Linked DNA regions of Oryzias latipes. The protein of the gene in region 2 interacts with the protein of the main gene of each other region in a pairwise test. Links are inferred from orthologs where the notes say so. Each region holds a gene or a part of one and is shown on either strand. Other genes may lie near its edges.

What was found.
Region 1: the proteins of SRSF protein kinase 2 (region 2) and fragile X mental retardation syndrome-related protein 1 interact in binary tests that used the Homo sapiens proteins (3 or more experiments, as listed by UniProt). The link is inferred for Oryzias latipes from reciprocal best matches to the Homo sapiens genes SRPK2 and FXR2.
Region 3: the proteins of SRSF protein kinase 2 (region 2) and u2af2 interact in binary tests that used the Homo sapiens proteins (3 or more experiments, as listed by UniProt). The link is inferred for Oryzias latipes from reciprocal best matches to the Homo sapiens genes SRPK2 and U2AF2.
Region 4: the proteins of SRSF protein kinase 2 (region 2) and snip1 interact in binary tests that used the Homo sapiens proteins (3 or more experiments, as listed by UniProt). The link is inferred for Oryzias latipes from reciprocal best matches to the Homo sapiens genes SRPK2 and SNIP1.
Region 5: the proteins of SRSF protein kinase 2 (region 2) and rnps1 interact in binary tests that used the Homo sapiens proteins (3 or more experiments, as listed by UniProt). The link is inferred for Oryzias latipes from reciprocal best matches to the Homo sapiens genes SRPK2 and RNPS1.

What each region holds. Positions count from the first base shown.
Region 1 is NC_019876.2:28,852,810-28,856,890, reverse strand, and holds the start of fragile X mental retardation syndrome-related protein 1, read right to left. Parts: upstream 2,801-4,081; 5' UTR 2,150-2,800; coding exon 2,099-2,149; intron 1-2,098. UniProt on the Homo sapiens protein: mRNA-binding protein that acts as a regulator of mRNAs translation and/or stability, and which is required for adult hippocampal neurogenesis. Specifically binds to AU-rich elements (AREs) in the 3'-UTR of target mRNAs.
Region 2 is NC_019864.2:11,774,248-11,777,760, forward strand, and holds part of SRSF protein kinase 2, read right to left. Parts: intron 1,227-3,513; coding exon 1,126-1,226; intron 481-1,125; coding exon 373-480; intron 302-372; coding exon 232-301; intron 1-231. UniProt on the Homo sapiens protein: Serine/arginine-rich protein-specific kinase which specifically phosphorylates its substrates at serine residues located in regions rich in arginine/serine dipeptides, known as RS domains and is involved in the phosphorylation of SR splicing factors and the regulation of splicing.
Region 3 is NC_019874.2:19,813,365-19,817,315, forward strand, and holds the start of u2af2 (splicing factor U2AF 65 kDa subunit), read right to left. Parts: upstream 2,802-3,951; 5' UTR 2,227-2,801; coding exon 2,178-2,226; intron 1,388-2,177; coding exon 1,219-1,387; intron 823-1,218; coding exon 787-822; intron 567-786; coding exon 463-566; intron 1-462. UniProt on the Homo sapiens protein: Plays a role in pre-mRNA splicing and 3'-end processing. By recruiting PRPF19 and the PRP19C/Prp19 complex/NTC/Nineteen complex to the RNA polymerase II C-terminal domain (CTD), and thereby pre-mRNA, may couple transcription to splicing.
Region 4 is NC_019874.2:23,603,910-23,608,165, forward strand, and holds the start of snip1 (smad nuclear-interacting protein 1), read right to left. Parts: upstream 2,805-4,256; 5' UTR 2,677-2,804; coding exon of another isoform or gene 2,606-2,676; 5' UTR 2,501-2,605; coding exon 2,361-2,500; intron 1-2,360. Other genes in the region: dnali1 (axonemal dynein light intermediate polypeptide 1), read left to right, coding at 2,928-3,008, 3,215-3,327, 3,879-4,048, 4,146-4,256. UniProt on the Homo sapiens protein: Required for pre-mRNA splicing as component of the spliceosome. As a component of the minor spliceosome, involved in the splicing of U12-type introns in pre-mRNAs. Down-regulates NF-kappa-B signaling by competing with RELA for CREBBP/EP300 binding.
Region 5 is NC_019866.2:11,024,501-11,028,490, reverse strand, and holds rnps1 (RNA-binding protein with serine-rich domain 1), read left to right. Parts: upstream 1-1,182; 5' UTR 1,183-1,274; coding exon 1,275-1,276; exon of another isoform or gene 1,277-1,343; coding exon of another isoform or gene 1,344-1,345; intron 1,346-1,857; coding exon 1,858-1,992; intron 1,993-2,097; coding exon 2,098-2,274; intron 2,275-2,364; coding exon 2,365-2,470; intron 2,471-2,724; coding exon 2,725-2,878; intron 2,879-2,970; coding exon 2,971-3,112; intron 3,113-3,230; coding exon 3,231-3,336; 3' UTR 3,337-3,620; downstream 3,621-3,990. UniProt on the Homo sapiens protein: Part of pre- and post-splicing multiprotein mRNP complexes. Auxiliary component of the splicing-dependent multiprotein exon junction complex (EJC) deposited at splice junction on mRNAs.

The DNA.
Region 1 (4,081 bases), on a different chromosome or scaffold from region 2:
CGGTACCGAGGTCCTTTGTTTGCCACGCCTGGTGCCTTGCAGTCACTGCAGGCAAAAGGGAATTTAACCCTCAACTCAATCCTGACATTAAGCTACACTCATTGATGCTCAGTCTGTTCTAGCATTTAGGTTGGTTTACTCTTGTGGGGGTGAAACCATGAACGGATTTCTGTTCCTACGATCCAACCTGATGGATCCGCCTGAGGAAAGTTGTTCATCGAATCAAAGTCGTAAAAATCATTGAAATAAATCGCTTATGTTGATATTGGAAAATACCATTTGGATTGAAAACGACCAATCACCGCTGACAACACATGGGATGACATCAGCAAACACGGATCAGTCTATCATTCCAGTCCAACGTGTGGAAACACTTTGAATATAGTCATGTGACCATCCAGTGAGCTAAACAACGGCGGGGACTCGTGGGCCGCCGAGGGCCGGACCAGCAGCTGATGCGTGGCGTGTCGTCCACCTCGTCAGAGAAAGAAATAACACGGAATCTGGATGAAAACATGCTTGAACTAATAAAAAATGATTTTATTTTAAAACGCAACATATTTGGATGATTTTGTTCTCATTTTAGAGCCAATGGGTTGATGTCCCTCAGGGGGGAAATAAGCCAAATTAGAGAAATGCTGCATTCAGGTGCGGTTGGAATTGTCAGAAACATCTGAAAAACAACAGATCTTCCAACACGAGTGCTGAATTACTTTCTACACCAAAGTAAAGCTCACTTTATCTGCAGAGCACCATTTATGAATTACAGGAAAAATAAAACCTTTGTAAGGATGATCAATTTAACTTTTCCCAGTTTGGCGGGCCGGATCAGATCCTTTAACGTGTGGCCCCCCGGGCCGGAGTTTGCCCACCCCTGTGCTAGAATGTTCCCTTTGGATTCTCTGGATGTGGAAACACAACAGCGCTGAAGTTTAGGAAACTAACATGTGAATGGATTTGACATTCATTCTAGTTTACTTGTTGGTTTGGACACAGATTTCATTTAACTTGATGATCTGGAAGAAATCCAAGAATCTGGAAAACTGTTCAGTAGCAGGAATTTCTGTCTGAGTCTCACTGCTGGAAGTTTGGATCAAGAGGATCTGGATCCACTTCAGGTCAGAGAATCAGAATGAAAAGATATCAAGAATAAACCGGAACCACAAGTGATATTCTTACAGCCCTATTTGTAACACGCGAACAGAGACGTGGGGAAAGTGAATGGTTGCATCTCCGATTAATACCTTTTGTTTGGAGGTCAATGCTTGGATTAATTGCTGTTTAAAATGCGAATAATGAGGCAGTTCTGTGGCGGTCAGAGCCTCACGCTAAAGTGGAAAACCGTCATTCATGCCAACGGCGCACTGACAACCAGTAAGACACACAACAGGTGAAGCTGCACAGGAGTAAATTTAGGACCATCACTGAACCCAGGGGGAGGGGGGTAGATGGAGCACATGGAACCCCCGAGTTACCAAAGTCCAGACCACTGGAGACCCATGTCTGCCTGTGGGACAAACCGGTTCAGATGTGTGGAAGCAGATGAGGAGTCTACTCGTTTCCATTGAAATAAATAGAATAATAACAATAATAACCCCCCCTCAGTGGAAGCACAGAGGGTGGGGGAAGCCTTAGGTTTGGTTTCTCAGTAAGATCAGCCAGAACTGAAACAGAAACCGTCGCCCTTCCTCATGTGAGGCATCAGCAGCCCAAAGCAGGACTGATGATGATGATGATGATGATGGTGGCGGTGAGGTCACTCCGCTTCTTCACGGAGCATCACCTCACCGACCTCACGACAGCTGTCTGGATCATCGAAACCCACCCCGTTCACAGGACCGAGCCTTCCTCCCACCAAACACCCCGAATTCAACCGAACTGTCCCGCCAACGTGACCCAAACGGGCCACGCGTGAAGACGACGAGTAGGAGGACCTAGCTTCACCCCGCTAACCAAAGCTAGCTAACCCGACCCGGTCGAACCGCTCCAAACCCGCAGCTAACTGACTCGGGCTCAGCTGGGCCCCAATTATTCTGGCTCTCCGAAGCCGGTTCTGGCCAAGCCGGACTTTGAGGCGGGCGGTAGAAACCCCGCTTACCTTGTAGAAGGCCCCGTTGGAGCCGCGAACCTCCACGGCCAGCCCGTCCATCCCCGTCGCCGGTGAGTCCGCGCGGCTGTGCTGCTGCTTGTCGTCCGTTGGCGTAACGGCTCCCTGCGGCTGCGAGTCCGGTAACGTTCCCGCCCCCAGCTTCGCCGGCCCCTCGCCGCTATCCGGCCGCTTGTGGACTTCCAGTGTTCCGGGTGGAGGACAAGAAGGGGCAGAGAGAGGTGACGGGTCCGGACCGATGGCAGGGATGATGTCTGAACCGCGGCGACGCAGACTACTACTGCCACTGCCAGCTGAGGGGGGAGAACAGCGCTCTCTTTGGGTCGGTTCTGGAGAATTCGCGACGACAACAAAGGCGCCGGCACCAGCAGAACCGAGCTAACGATGCCCAAGGAGCCGGAGGACGATGACTGATGGGTAATTAGCTTGGAGGCTAGCGTCTGTTTTCGGGAGTGCTAGCATGCTACAGTCAGATAGCCTGGCTGCGTTTGAGGGCTCGTGCGTGTGGCGTAATCTCCGCGCGGAACAGTCTCGCGCGCGTCGTCACCGGGGCGGCCGTGTCTTCGGTCGGTGGCGTGGTTCTCAGCGGCGTCTCTTCTTCACAAAGGCGTTTTTCAAAGCACCACCGCCCGGCAACTCCTCACAGCAGCCACCAATCCCCGCAAACACGCCGATTGACTGAATCGCAAAGGGACTGAATGACCTGAAAGGCCCCGCCCCCTCCCAGTGAAGCCCCGCCCGTCCTGCCCCCTATTAGCCTTCTGATTGGTCAGAACGGTCAACAATCACTTCCAGATCCCATTAATTGGTTTAGCAAATAAGGGCTGGTCCAGCGAAGGGGCCAATGAAATCCAGACAGTTGCCTACCGACGTCATTCATTGGTTGATTGTTCGTGTCAATCAAACATTTACTCATATGGACTGGCTCCCATGTCCAGGTTAGCCCACTCATGAATGAGCGAGGACCCCCACTTATTGTGTAAACACCACCACCACAGGTTACTATATATACTATACACCATGCTGGAGCTGCAAGAAAACGTTCATGCATATAAAACATGCTCCTAATATCCCCCCTAGATGCCCCCCCCCTCCCCCATTCACTACAAATGTAACAGAATGCTGGGGCATTTGAAGCAGCTGAATGAGAAGATATCCAGATTTGGACAAGGAGGCAGCTGTGGGACCAGCAGGGGAAACCGCACAGATAGCGCAAACGCCACGTATCGGCCCCTAATGCAATGTCTGCTACTGATGTCTGTGCTGCTCCTCTGAAGATCTGCGGCTAAAGATTAGGTTTGAATCACTGTCTGCAGTATTTGTGAAGCCGACCTCAGATTCCTTGGAGAAAAACCTTTCATGGAAGTACACGAACTGCACTGAGAAGATCCTGTTTGCGTCTTTTATTTTGAAAGCAGCTTCTGTCAATAGTAAAAATGCAATTTCACACTAGAGAAAATGCTAGTTTTTAAATAAACAATAAATACATACTATCACATTTTCCTAAAGCAGAGGTGAGCAAACTACACCCCAAGGGTTTCACATGCAGCCATGAAACTATTAAATCCGGCTCGCCAGAAAGATTAATGTTTTATTTTCTGGTGAGTCCCAAGATGGTGCACTACAAATACATGTACCTTTGTTTAGGTGCATAAAAGTTATTTTGCATTCAGGTGAAGTTGGAAGATTTGTTGTTTTTCTGACGTTCATGTGTGTTTTCCTTGTAGGACAGTCCGATCGTACTAACAGCACACGAACACAGCTTTTTTTCCCCTCAGTTTGTGTTTTTTCCTGAGGGACATCAACCCATCAGTGAGACTGGCAGTAAATTGAGAAAAATAAATCACAGTTTTGAAATTCCAAAATGTCCTGTTTTAAAATATATACATTTGATGTCAATCAATATTAAAGCAGGTTTTTCCAGTTCATTTTTTCTTTCTTATCAGGTGGATCAGCAAAACGAGCCACAGATCT
Region 2 (3,513 bases):
TGATTATTTAGTTTTCAATACATTTTAACTTATTGTTACTTTTGAATGTTTCAAGTCATTTCAGTGAGCATTGGGGACTTTCTGTCTTTAACTGAGGGGTACCAACAATTTTGTCCACCACTGTATTTAAAGCACAGATGTGTCTGCTTCTTTGCTTTCATACACAAACATGGGAATCACAGTATGAATCTGGATCCATAGGATGTAGGACATGAAGATTTAAATCCTCACCTTCGTCACGGGAGTAATCCTCTCCAGAATGAGGCTCAAACAGGTAATCTCCCGTGGCCAGCTCAAAGGCCTAAACAGACAAGCAAACAGTAAAACAGCGATTCCTTTCAGTGGACGGTTTACTTAATAAACCTTCCTCACCATACAGGCAGTACTCCAGATGTCAGCCGGAGTGCTGTAGCCCGCTCCAATCAGGACCTCGATGGACCGGTACTGCCTCGTCTGGATATCCTCAGTAAAGTGTTTATGCTTTTGATGAGAGGAAACAAGAGGAAAAATGACTTTAGTTTAGGGTAGAAATAATGATCAAATCGTGTTGTCCTGGTGACTGACTTGAGACCAGGATTGTTGTCGTTGCTGATCTGAGTTTGGGAGTTTTAACATCTTGGAAATTTGTTTATAACATTTAATGAATTTGCTTCTAGCATTTGTGAATACAGAGGACACCTTTATTTAGAATTCATTTAGAGGGATCGTGAAGAAAACAACTATGAAACTGAGAAAAAATACCTAACTCTGAGCAAAATCCTTCTTTCCATCAGTCAAATTTACTCAAATCTGCAAAGCAAATCAACCTAAAAATATTAGTTTTTTTCCCCCACTAAATTGTAGTGGTTGTGTTGGATTTTTTTTTCTTATTAGAAATGTTTGCAGACTGTAAGCTGTTTTTTATACTGTTATGCATAAAAAGTCTGAAGAAACTCTGAACTCCCGTGCAAAGGATTTAGGATAGAGTAGGATAAAATAGAATAGAATAGAACTTTATTCATCCCACAGAGCGGAAATTGTCTTGTTACCGCAGCTCTATCAAAAACAGCAGATGTATATTAAATAACACTAAAACAATCCTGGTTTGAATCAAACTCAGTCAGATTATTTCACATTGCGTCTTACCACCCAGCAGGCATTTCCAAGGTCAGCGATTTTGACTCTGATGGAGTCGGCGTTTTGGGGGTCTAGAGGGTTAATCAGGAGGTCTGCAGCTCTGGCCCTGACTGAAGGGGGACAGAAGGAAACGGTTTACACAGTATTAAAGGGTTTCTACACACAGCACAGACACAAAATGAACTCTCAAGAGATTTTATTGAAATTCCTAAACCAGAATCTACTTCAAAAGCTGTTAGGATTATGAAACTAAACCGACGGAACCGACGCTGAATCAGAAATAACAATCTGGGGAGAAAATTAGTCAAAATTGTGATTCTTATCAGCATACAAATAAAGTATTATGAAAAAATATTCAATGTAAAAACAATCATGTGTTGGTTGAGATTGAAAAGAAAGATCTAGATTAAAAAAACTGACATGTTACATCATATGGCACTTTATTTTTTTACAAATATATAATCCTGGATTACAGATTTAAAAGATCACTTAAAAATAGCCTGTAAAATCCACAGGGAAACTTACTGAACAAAATAAGAAAAACAATATTAACCTAACATACTAATCTAAGCCATTATTCATCTTTAAGTTAACATGGATGGTAAATATTTTTGTACATCATAGCAGCACTGAAAGATAACTCTTCCAGTTTAAAGCATATGTTTTGCAAAAGCTATAATTCAGCATTTATTATTTGTTCTATTTTCTTCTGCTGGGATTCCACAGGATGCGATGAAAGCAAAGATAACAGGAACCATTATCTATCTACATTCAAAAAAAGGAGACTATTGGTCAAAAGGAATCAAATTAATGTAGTTTCAAACGGTTTTCTGTCACTGGACTTTTTCACTTTACAGTAGATGTTTTTCTGTGACATTGAGGACGAGATTTCTAATTTTGAAGCTGTAGCCTCATAAAAAAAAAAAATCTCTGAAACACGGCGCAAACATAAAAAACAGACATCAAATGAAAATACACTGACCAAAAATATAAACGCAACACTTTTGTTATTGCTCCCATTTTTTATGGTATGAACTCAAAGATGTGAAACATTTTCCACATACACAAAATAACCTGTTCTCTGAAATATTGTTCACAAATCTGTCTAAATCTGTGATAGTGAGCACTTCTCCTTTGACAAGACAATCCATCCCACCTCACAGGTGTGCCATATCAAGATGCTGATTAGACAGCATGATTATTGCACAGGTGTGCCTTATACTGGCCACAAGAAAAGGCCACTCTGAAATCTTCAGTTGTTTCACACAGCAGAATGCCACAGATGTCGCAAGTTTTGAGGGAGCGTGCAATTGGCATGCTGATAGCAGGAATGTCCACCAGAGCTGTTGCTAGGGAATTGAATGTCCATTTCTCCACCATAAGCCGTCTCCAAAGGCGTTTCCGAGAATTTGGCAGCACATCCAACCGGCCTCACAACCGCAGACCACGTGTAACCACACCAGCCCAAGACCTCCACATCCAGCATGTCCACCTCCAAGATCGTCTGAGACCAGCCACTCGGACAGCTGCTGAAACAATCGGTTTGCATAACCACAGAATTTCTGCACAAACTGTCAGAAACCGTCTCAGGGAAGCTCATCTGCATGCTCGTCGTCCTCATCGAGGTCTCGACCTCACTTCAGTTTGTCGTCGTAACCGACTTGAGTGGGCAAAGTCTCACATGCGATGGCGTCTGGCACGTTGGAGAGGTGTTCTCTTCAAGGATGAATCCCGGTTTACACTGTTCAGGGCAGATGGCAGACAGCGTGATACCATGACGAGATCCTGGGGCCCATTGTTGTGCCGTACATCCAACAACATCACCTCGTGTTGCAGCATGATAATGCACGGCCCCATGTTGCAAGGATCTGTACACAATTCTTGGAAGCTGAAAACATCCCAGTTCTTGCATGGCCAGCATACTCACCGGACATGTCACCCATTGAGCATGTCTGGGATGCTCTGGATCGGCATATACGACGGCGTGTTCCAGTTCCTGCCAATATCCAGCAACTTCGCACAGCCATAGAAAAAGAGCGGACCAACATTCTACAGGCCACAATAGACAACCTGATCAACTCTATGCGAAGGAGATGTGTCGCACTTCATGAGGCAAATGGTGGTCACACCAGATACTGACTGGTTGTCTGAGTCCCCTGACCCCCTCAATAAAACAAAACTGAAGATTTCAGAGTGGCCTTTTCTTGTGGCCAGTATAAGGCACACCTGTGCAATAATCATGCTGTCTAATCAGCATCTTGATATGGCACACCTGTGAGGTGGGATGGATTGTCTTGTCAAAGGAGAAGTGCTCACTATCACAGATTTAGAAGGATTGGGGAACAATATTTCAGAGAACTGGTTATTTTGTGTATGTGGAAAATGTTTCACATCTTT
Region 3 (3,951 bases), on a different chromosome or scaffold from region 2:
ACAAAGAAAACATGAATATTTCAAGCACCAGTAGCTCCAACTGGTGCTTGGTTCGGGGATATTTTAGAATGTCCGTCATTATTGCTTCGCGGCTGTGTAGACGCTACTTGGCGTCTATCTTCTTCGCTGGTATGTGTGCTCAGCAAGGCAGTTTTGTGTTTGAGCGCCCCCAAGTTGTGTTTTACTGTAACTTCAGAAGCTCCAGACACGTGAGCAAAAGTGCCATTCTCATTGGTCGAGTAGATTTCGACGCGACGCGTCGCGTCGAAAAAAAAACGAACCCGAGGCGTTTTTTTTTTTACGCTTTAACGCGTGCACGTTTTTTCGTGCCCTTTGTTTAGTCACGAGGCGTTAAACGTCGGCGAAAATCGCCGGCGAAATTCGTCCCGGTGTGAACAGGCCTTTAGCATGTTATGTGTACACATTTGTGAATTAAATACACTGGAAACAGATAAGAGTTACCTTGCATGGCTTTGTACTGCATGGGAGTGATATGCTCAAAACCAGGAGGAGGAACATCCCAATACTTCTTGATCTTCTTCTTCTTTTCACGATGGGGAGATCGGCTGTAAGAGGGAAGAAAAAAAAATAAACATTAGGAGAAAATGAACTTTTTTTTAAAGAAGGTTGCATCGATTTCAACATAGTAAAAGTGACAAAAAAGACAGAAAAATGGACAATACCCAAAAACAAATTACTTGAACATGTGTAAATTGTCTTTAAAGTGATAGGAGTGTCAATGTACAGTTTCTGCAACTGCCAGCTTTGTGTTAAGTTTTCTGTTACCTTGCAGTATTTTCTTGAGGGTAGGCGGGTGGCGAGCTGAAATGACAAATTGGAGGAAGAGATTTAGATTTCTTATATGAATCAAACAAACTTTTTGAGTTATGATTCATAAATAAAATAAAAAACACTGCATTTCCAGTCACACTTGAATATCAATGCACTTCAAAACAAACAAGTGAGAATTCTCTTCTAATTTCAAAAGAAGTAGGGAAAAAAAAACGAATAAATCAAATGAAATCAAAAGCTCATCAGAACAAACATACATAACTGGTGCATTTGTGTGAACAATGTAATGATGCATGTAGACTGCAGACATTACAATAAAGTTAATAAAGAGACTTAACGTTGCCATGTTATTGCTGGACAGTTGATAAGAGATTTTACACATAACAGCTTGTTTTTAAACAGGAGGATTGGTGTAGATGTACTGACTTGCGCCGGTGTCTCCGCTCCTTACTGTCCCCACGGCGGTCCCTGCTGCGTCTTTCCCCGCCATCCCTGCTCCTCTTCTTCCTCTCTCTGCTGCGGCTGCGGGATGAAGAACGACGATGGTGCCGGTTTTCTTTGTCCCTTTCTGTGGCAAAAGAGCGGTGCTCAGTAACTATGAAGTATAAAAGTATAAAGTGTTTTTCATTAAAACAAAAATCTTCTTAAAAAACATAACCCCAGAAATATTGTTCATAAAAGCAAATTAAAGCGAGCTGAATTTAGACATGTTCTCGATGTTTAATTTTAATTTTCATAAATGGTCTTACAGGTATGAACACAAAGTGAAAAGATAAATCAAGTAGTAATCAAGTAGAAGGAAAATGTGCATAAATGAGGTTATTTCTCTTAAAAGTACATTTTTATGTTAATCATGCTACAAGACGATGCATCTGCAGATAGGTGGGAAAAAAAGGAAGATAAAAGAGGAGAGTACAGGAAACCAGCTATATTAAAGAAGCAAGAATTTGTATCAGTAGCATAAACACAATATGAAACTGAAAGGACTATTGCAAAAACTGCAGTAGAGAATGTATAAAGATAAACAGTTGAACTTGTAAAAAGGAACTATCGAGCACGAGCGGCTGAATGATAATTCAATGACAGAAAGCACCGCTTAAATATTATTACACGCCACATGAATCGGACATGCCATAATAATACCACGATGGAGTTCAAGATAATACAAAATTGAAAACATTTTAATGTTAATAGCATTATACAACAGTACCGAAAGCCAGATTACAGGAAAACATCGATAAACTTGTAAAGCTGCGTTGTACATTTAGAGGCTATTTGATCATAGGCCAGTTAAACAGACACGTCCGCGACGTGCTAACCATAGAGATAAAAATGACATGTACCTCTTTTGCAATCATTGTTAATTGTGTAACTAGTCCATTTACCTTGATGGTTCTCAGACAGTTGTCTTTCAAATTCGTCGAAATCCGACATCTCTGGATAGAAACCTACTACGCTTTCGAAGACTGCGTTGTTCGGTTGGCGGAGGCTAGCTTAAGCTAGCAAGAAAGTGAGCACTTTGAGATTCAAGCGCTTCAATGATAGCGCTTCGGAAAGTTAACCTCGGTTAGCAAAAACACGGCTCAAAAACAAACCTATCAAACGATAGGTGGTATCACACACATTAGTGACGTGGTATTTGCTCAAATGTAACACATACAAATACGGAAAAAGGAAAAACGTGCTCGCTTAAGTTAGCCCGCTAACGCCAGCTAACTAGCTTGTAGCAAAGTCCAGAAGAAAGGCCTGCTGCTCCACACCGCCGAGGAGGCTCAGCTGCTAGCTAGGCTACGAAATCCGAATAAATGAGACTATTTTCGAAGCCCAAAGCGAATCCAGCTTAGTCACAGGCCCACAATATGTGTTTATGTGACGCAATAATCCAAATCTTTACGCCTTCTGCTGTTTTAAGTCTACAAAAACAGCAAAGATTTTGTTGTGCCCGCTTTTTTGCTCCGACTCCCAGATACCCCGTGACATCGGAAGTTGATGAACGCTGCGTTTCCGGTAGAAGAACGTCGTGTGGTTCTGGCTTGTGTTTGGAGCTGCATGGAGACAATTCTGTGATTGAATTCTGATTAAAACAACAGAACACCTGCATGTGACTTTCTCTGTAATGGTTATTGGGAGAATATTTCTAAATGTATGAACTTAAAAACGACGTGTTTCAGTTAAAAATACATGTTAATATAGTTAAATATCCAAAACTTACTGTAGATTTTAAATGTTATGCTTAAAGCTTTTGTGTTTCAATCAACGGTCATTTACACAATTTAATTAAACAACTACAAACTGGATTTTAGTGATAGATCCTTAAGAAAGATCAACACAAAACTCAGCCCTAAGCACTGCGGATAGATTCAGAAGAATTGTCAGCATCCTGCTGTATACTTTGAATGATTTACGGTTCATCAAGCAATAGCCCATTTTTTACACACAGACAGGCAGGACAGATCATGTTTAGATGAGCTCTATCAGGCCCTGTTATGCAAAATATTAATTTCTTAGAGTTCGTCTTTCTAGTAGGGATGTAACGATTCATGGTGTTTATTCATATCATAATTCATGTTTGCTGATATGATTCATAGTTAATATTGGTTCATTTTGAATGATCTGAGTTGATCCGATTCACTGGCCTAAACTCGATCGAGGACATCTTTAGCCAAAAATTCAACCAGTGATACTTAGAGATAAACACCTGGAGACTGAACGGTGCAGGTGAAGTTTTCCAGATTCCTTCTATTTCTTGCAAGATAATCAAGTGTAAAAACAAACAAACAAGTAAACAAGAATTAATGGAAAATCCATTCACATTTTATTTTCATAAAGTTCATCCCACTAATGTTTTTCCACATCAAAATAATCCAAAGGGAACATTTTTAGAACATTCTGCCACGCTGTATGGTCACATGTCTTTGCATAATTCAAAGTGTTTCGTCACATTGAACTGTAATGATGGATTGATCATTTTTTGCTGCCATCCTGTGTGAGTGTTGTCTGCTGTGATGGCAGTTGGTCGTTTTGGCGTTATAGTAAATTAAACGTATTCACTCCTTTACCAACAACATTTCATAAATGTCAAATAATAAGCTGTCAGTGCTTTGCAATTCCTATTTTGTTGTCTTTTTACATACAGGTGACGATGTGTCTATTGCCAAC
Region 4 (4,256 bases), on a different chromosome or scaffold from region 2:
GAATAACAGCAGAGAGTTCTGACCTGCAGACAACTTGACCTCAACTTTCACCGTCGCTGATATCAGCTGAAGAAGGATATGGACCTGAATCTAATGTCTGCAGTCATAACATCGAAGAGAACTATAAACTCTGTTTTGAACCCAGAAGTACGGCTGTTATCAGTTAAAGAAGAAAGACCAACCTTGGACAATCGACAGTTATGGACCCTTTTTACTTTCCCCCTACAGCATTACTTTATTATAAAAAAAATAATAATAAAAATACAAAAAAAATATTTAAAAAAGTAAAACAAATGATTAATGACTTATTGAAAATTGTTAAATTGATTGCCTTTTAATGATTTTATTTCACTTTCTCCAAAAATTGATAAATTGATTCAAAAATCTTTCCTAATGTAGCATAATTTTGCACATGTTTTTAACTTTTGATACTTGATGAAATTTTGCTATGAAAATTCCTGAAACAGTGTTGTGTCTACTTTACTGATATAGTATTATGTTTTATTCATATGAATGGCTTTTATAAGTAACATAATCTGCATATATTTCAGATGACTGATCTGCATTTGCCATGTTGATTTCTAAAATAGTTATTTTTGACGTAATACTTAAGTAATTCATCTTTGTCATGTGCTTTATCGATATCTTATGATTTTTAATTCTGTATGATATAAACTGGGAACCGGATATTGATAAATCATGTAATAAAATGGTTACAGTATAACGGGGTGGGATTATATAAATTCGCTTCCTTCCACTCCCTTTCAAGCAATATTTATTAATATGTATAATTATCCTAAGTTTGATTAGTTACTGTATGAATGTATAACTGATGATTATATTGCTGTTGTGTATTATTTCTACTTAATTGCTTGAAATAAACCATTTCAAATAAAAAAATAAATAAAATTGTTCTGGTTCTCTGTTGTCATCTATTGTTTGTATGTTTGTACCTTGAGCCTAACGCCGACGCTGCATCAACCCAATTTCCCAAGCTGGGATCAATAAAGTATATTTATCTTAAGATCATTTTGTAAGTGATATTCTTGATTCAAATGGAGAAATTCTTCAGTTAAGAGACTTCAAAGGTAAATATGATATTGAATGCTCAACCGAGGAATTTCAGAAAACCTGCTGAGCAATTCCAATTGCTTCAATACATTTAATAAAAAATACAATATTGTCTTCCTATGTTCAAATTAAACTACCAAATTTAGTAATAGGAGAAATAAAATTTAGTGAAAAAAAACGTGATAATAAATTGCTAAACAAATCCTTTAGAGGTAAATTATACCATGACTTTAACAGAAAAGTGAAATATAAAATAACTGAGACACCTGTCACATCAGATGCTCAACTATGGAAATTCATAAAATGGCCAGTGGTTCCCAAAATTAAAGAAATGCAGTTCAAAATTATAAACAATTATTACCCATCGGCAGAGACATTGAGAAGTAGATTTGGCTTTGAGGTTGATCCGTGTGATTTCTGTCAGGTAACCCCAGAAACAACCCAACACCTGTTTTTTTCATGTCCAGACCAGTGAAAGATTCTGGCAAGATTTTCATAATTGGCTTAGTCAAAAAATTAACAACATACAATTCACAGAAAAACATATTTTGTTTTAAAACAGTAAGTTGCCAAAAGAGCCAACAAATAGTGAACATCCTCCTGATTTTGGGAAAATATATTCATAAGCAAAAGTGGAAAAAAGATCGGCCGAATTTCCTGTGTTTTAAAAATGAAGTCAGATTGTATTTATCCTCATTGAAATGTATTCACAACTCAAATTCTTTCATTGATGACATTTGTAAATCTGCTACAGAATGGTTACAAATCTAGGGTCCAGATTGTTGATTGCCTTGTATTTTAATTTATGCTGATAGTTTTTTTTATATATGTATACATTCTTGTTTTTTTTTTATCTTTGTTTTTCGTGAAGAGCTGTGCCTTGCATCATTGTGTTGTTGTGTCTGCCAGAGTTTTGTAATGAGTATATTTCAATAAAAAAAAAAATTAAAGCAAATTTTATGTCTCTAGTCTAACCTTGATTTATCAGCAAGACGGTAATAAAATATCTTAGAACAATAAACAAGATTTACTTGATACGAGTCAGATACTTATACTACTTTTGACACAAACGTGTTAAGGATTATTTGATTTACAGAAACCTCAGATCAAAACTCTTTTGGAGCAACCGGGTATCCCTTACGTTAAGTGTTTATTCCGTAACCGTCAAAAATGAAAACCGGAAGCTAGATTTTCATCAGCGAAAGTACAACAAAAAAATAATGTTGTGAATTGTTTTATATTTAGACAGTTTTACGTCATGAATCGTAGTAAAACCTTCAGACATTTACCTGCTAGCTCGTCTCCCCTGTGGACTGCGTGATCTGTGTGGCCTGCTAGTGCTACTCGGGCTCAGTTTCTCCTGCTTTATCTTCACTTCGGGCTGCCGTTCTGGAGACTCCCTTCTTCTGTCTCGCTTTTCTTTAGTCATTTTAGTTTATTTTTCCAATAAATTTGAGCTCAATTCAACCAAAACACGACACAGTAGCTAGACAAAGACAAGCCAAGATAAAAAATAAAACCTTTGATGCGTTACCAAACTTCTGGCGTTGTGAAAACAAACTTCCGTTTCCGGTGACTCAAATTAATCCCCTCGACGTGCTCCATGTGCTCCCTATTGTTGGTTCCGCCATGGCCTAATTCGTTTTAAATGGGGAAAACGTGATGTTCAAGTTTTTTTTGTCATAGACTGAAGCATTGATGACACATATACGTGTCGTATTACATAAAAAGTATTCTTAAATGAAACTTTGTTCAAATCAATATTATTTTATTTTGAAAAAGTGTCGCCATGACAACACAAACAGTGAAACGGTATTTCTAACAAAACGTGTAACTTGCTCTCTCACCTCAAAACGATGACTTCTTTTGGCGAGTCCCTCTTGAAATACGATAATCCGATATTGGTAAAAACAAAAGGAGATAAAAAATCTCAAAAGGTAAGTCTTGATGGTTAATGATCTATTTAACTGGCGCCCAGAAACTATATCAATTAAGGCTAGAAATCTCATTGTACTTCCATAATTTCTTTATTGTGGACAATGAAAGGCTACCAAATAAAATCTTCAAAAATAATAAAAGAAATTACAAAAAAATAATAATACAAATAAATGTACAATTTTCCCCCCTTTTTTTTCGTTAATAGGGACGTACTCTAACGTTGAGCAACCTTCCAGCTCCCAGCTTTGCAGCAGGTGTTCCATCTCCCCCTACACAGAATTTGGATGAAAACATTTTGCATGCCATCTTACCACCTAGGTAAAAGAAAACCTCAAAAGCTCACCTAAGCACAACGATTCAGATTTATTTATTCTAGATTCATTATTATTTATTCTTCTTCCTAAGTTATGCAGACAAACATAGACTGTGGCATGCACCAGAGCACAATGACCATCCTCAACTTTTATTTCTCAAAAGTCAAATCTGGGAAATCAAATAAAATCAGGCTTTTTTTTTGTAAAACAGATGCTTTTCATGCCATGTAACTCAAAAAACTTTAAACAACACAGTGGAACAGCTACAGTTGGAACAAATGTAGTTTTTATGTGATCCAAAGATCACCAACAAATCCTAATGTCTAACAAGGAAAAGAGGAAAGGTCCTGTAGCTCAGTGAATGTCCAACTTTCATCAACTTAAAAAGATCAAGTCTTGACAGCAAATATTGCCCACAGGTGCATTATCACACATACGTCTGCTTTTTACTTAATTCAAAAATAAAAAGCTGACACACAATCTAAGATCCCGAAAGCATCCAAAAGTTACTGTCAAATGATTTTCCAAGTAAATTCTGATTTCTTACCATTACAGAGAATGGACAGAGGGGGACCAACAGTGGGTGCAGAAAGTATCTACAGCCATTACCACGAGGAAAGATGTCATTCATCTGCAGGAGCAGCTGAACATAAAGCTAAAGCAGAAAAAGGCCAAACCAACTGGCATCTGCCCCATCCGCTGGGTTCTGTTTTCCCAGTGTTTCGGTAAGACAGCGGAGGGTCGGGACAAAGCTCATCTCCGAGTAAAAATGTGGATAGTTATGAAATATAAATGTATTATGCATCTTATTTCCTTTTTGAGATGAACTCATCAGACAGGTAACCATTGAATGTGCGGAGAGAGGTCTGCTGTTGTGCCGGGTCAGAAATGAGATGCAGATGATGATAAGAGCCTACCAAAACTTGTCTGAGA
Region 5 (3,990 bases), on a different chromosome or scaffold from region 2:
TAAAGAAGATGAAAAGAGAAAATCAGTTACACCCCTGTTGGAAAATCTTGTTTCAAATTTACTCAGGAGAATAACAAAGTCATATGTGCCTTGTTTCAACGAGATGTTATTTCAGAACATTTTGTTGTCTTTTAGTGAAATACTTTTGTCTCTGACTTGCTATGGAAAGAACTTTCATTGCATCAGAAATAGTTGATTAATGACAAGATGAGCGATATCTCCTCTCAATTTCTGCACAGAATAATACTAGTCAAGATATTTAACATTGTAAAATATATTAAAGTTTGTTAACATTCTGTGAAAGAAAACCCAAAAACTCAGTCACCTACTTTGGAATTGTAATATTTATTAAAAATCTTTTGATTAGACTGTACATATTTAAAAAATTGCAACAATAACTCAAAATGCGATGCTCCAGTGCTGTGACTATATGTAAGGTCTGCATGGATTTGTATTATAACTTTTTCATTCATCCACACTTGTGTCGTGTATGTTTACAAAAAAAGTTGGCAAGAAAAAAAAAACAACAACGATATATATATATATATATATATATATATATATATATATATCGTTTTAAGATCTGAATTTACTAAATATTAAATTTTTCCAAAATACAAAGAAATCCATTTTAAAATAATGTATGCAGTCTATCCATACAAGGAACTACTATACATATACGTTTTGGTTTTCCAGAAAATAACTGTTCTTTCTGTGACATAAATATAGAAACACTTGATCATCTGTTTTTTTGAATGTATATATGTTAACAGTTTTTGGGAGAATTTCTTTTCTTGTTGCTCCTCAAAGTTTCCCTTTCCTATTTATATTCAATTACAAAAGCAGATCATATTATTTGGAGTAGTTTCTGTTGATAATATATTTGATTTGACATTCAATACTTTATTAATATCTGGGAAATTTTTCATTGATGAGAGCAGATTTTCAAAAACAAAACCATTATTCAATACATTTCATATTGAGATCAGTTTATATTAAAAATCTCTGATATTAATAAAAAGCAAAAATGCAATAAAATGTCTATTTTCATTGAAGATCACGCGTTGTATGAAAATCCCTTGTATTGTAAACTACAATTATATTATTTTTATTTATTTATTTATTTCTATTTTCTTCTTTTTTCTTTTTTTCTGTTGTAGCTTTTGTGTGTGCGTTTGTTTAAAGTTAAAATAAAAAATTACGTAACATCCGCTTTCATCATCACTTCGCGACCTCACACCAGACCGCAAGTGAAGCCATTTTTGGCCGTTGGAATGTAAGATTAACCTTTTTACGTATTTTCGATCTAAATAGCTTTAATAGCGGAACTTGTTGATTTAAACATGTAAGTTCGGAGGCTTTTTTATTTTGCGCGAAAGTTCCTTATAAAGGAAGAAGTCGTTTAACCGCGACGCGGGTGTAGTTTAGTCCCTTGTTGTGCTCAAAAAAAACAACGAGGGAACGAGTCCAAATAGAAGGTTTTTTTTTTTCTGAATGAAAATATTAGTGTAAGGGAAAATATTATGTAATTTACGGTCCTAAACATTTGGAATTAAGCTTAAAATAATTACAATTTATTGTGCACATGTTAAATGTCGGTAAAAAAAAAAAAAACACCGAAACAATTTTGAATTAATTAGATAAAAATGAAATGAAAAAGTTATATATATTCAAGTAATTAACGAGTTAAATTTAATTAATGACCTTTTTGGTGCAAAAAATTTGTATCTAGCACATTTTAAGGCTGTTTCTCTCTATCCAATAAAAACATAAATCACAATCCTTTACATAAACCTAGACATAATCACTTTTTTAGGTTTCTAGGTCTCTAATTTATGTGCTTTCTCGCCACATCAGGGCACCATTACCGATAAAGCGAAAGGAAGATGAAAAGAAAAACAGGGAAAAAGAAAAAATAAAGGAAGGAGACAAGGAAAGGGGTCGCGACAAAGCAAAGAAACGCCGCAGTGCTTCATCAGGCAGCAGCAGCAGGTGAGCTATTTTTTCTTTCTTATATTTAAAAATATAATATAGCATCCTGTCCTGGATGTTCATTCCCAACTAAATCATTGTTTGTTTTTGACCTTCCACATCTAGATCTAGCTCATCCTCCAGCAGCAGCTCTGGTTCTAGCTCTGGTTCTTCAAGTGGTTCCAGCTCCTCTTCCAGTCGCTCCGGATCCTCTAGCTCTCGGTCTTCCTCCTCCTCCAGCTCTTCGGCCTCTCCAAGTCCCAGCCGCAGACGCCATGACAACCGACGCCGTTCACGATCTCCGTCAGTCCATTTTCTCAGACATGAGACAAATATTTATATTGTATCTCAAAAATATTGACAATATTTATTCTGTAATTTTTTATCCTGCAGTTCTAAAACACAGAAGAGAGGAGAAGAAAGAGAACGAAGAAAAAGAAGTCCCACCCCTAAACCCACAAAGGTTCACTTGGGAAGGCTGACCAGGAATGTAACCAAGGCAAGCTAAAAAAACAAACAAAAGCTAAATCTTTGATTTTTAAAAAAAAAATTCTAATTCAATAAAAGCAGATCTTATTTTTCATGATAACTAGTTAGAATGAAATATTCTTTATGTTTATTGTCTGTCAAGATGTGCGCCTAAAACTGCAAGAATTAAATAAAAAGCTAAATATTTTGTTTTTAGTTTTTTTTAATGGAACAATCCTTCACAAAATAATGGTTAAAAACTAAATGTATGTTTCAATTTACTAGGAACACATCCAGGAGATTTTCTCTACATATGGAAAAATTAAAGCGGTTGACATGCCGGTGGAAAGGCTCTTCCCAAACCTGACCAAAGGCTTTGCTTACGTGGAGTTTGAGACCCCTGAAGAAGCCCAGAAAGCTCTTAAACACATGGATGGAGGTAGGAAAGAATCATTTAAGGGGCTGGAGAAATCATATTGACGAACATAAACTTGGTCAGGTAAAAACAAACCTTCCTGATGACTTTTTTAGGTCAGATTGACGGGCAGGAAATCACTGCAGCTGCTGTGCTGACTCAGCTGATCCGTGGTCCTCCACGTAGACTGTCTCCTCCTCGAAGAATGCCGCCACCTCCACCGATGTGGCGCCGCAGCCCACCACGCATGAGAAGAAGGTTATTTAAAAGCTTTCACTTGTACCTTTTTAATATTTTTAACGTTTTATTATGCGGTCCATTGAAACGGAATCTTCTCCCACCTACTGATGCTCGTCCTTTTTTTGTGCCTGTTTAGATCACGCTCCCCAAGGAGGCGCTCGCCACCACGTCGCCGCTCTCGCTCTAGGTCTCCTGGCCGCAGGCGCCATCGCTCTCGTTCAAGCTCAAATTCCTCCAGATAGAAAGTTGTCTTTACTCTAAATACTCGCCGCAGATCAGCTGCAGTTTTCGCATTTCCTGGCTCCTCGGACACAAAGGATCTATATAAATTGCAGTAAATTTAGCTGAGTTCGTAGTGACAAGGAGACGAGAAAAATTCTTTCTTTTTTTTTAAATTTTGTGCTGAAAATTGACTGTAGTTTTTATGTTATGTCTGATGACATCTAACAAGATTTTGTGATTCCTTCATTCGAGTTGATTTTTTTTTTTGAAGAATTTTGAGAATAAAACCTATGAAACATCTTGATTCTGATTTCTGTCATCTTGTGATCCGGCTCAACTATTATTCTGATTTCTAGTCACAAAAATACTTTTAACCCTTATGTGGTGTTCGGGTCTGTGGGACCCGTTTTCATTTTTTATCAAAAGAAAAATGATACAATTAATTAATTTTTCAAACTCAGACTCACTGGCCTTGGCTCATTTTCTGTGAAGAACAGATATCAGAATACATTTTTAATGACCACACACCGTATACCCCCCCCAACACATTTCTATTACATATAAGATGTTCGGGTCCACTGGACCCAGGGCTAATAGAAGTGTGGAAATTGATGTTTTTATGTACCTACACTCTGTCCTCCACCTGTCTGGGCCTGCTGTGTGTGTGTGTGTGT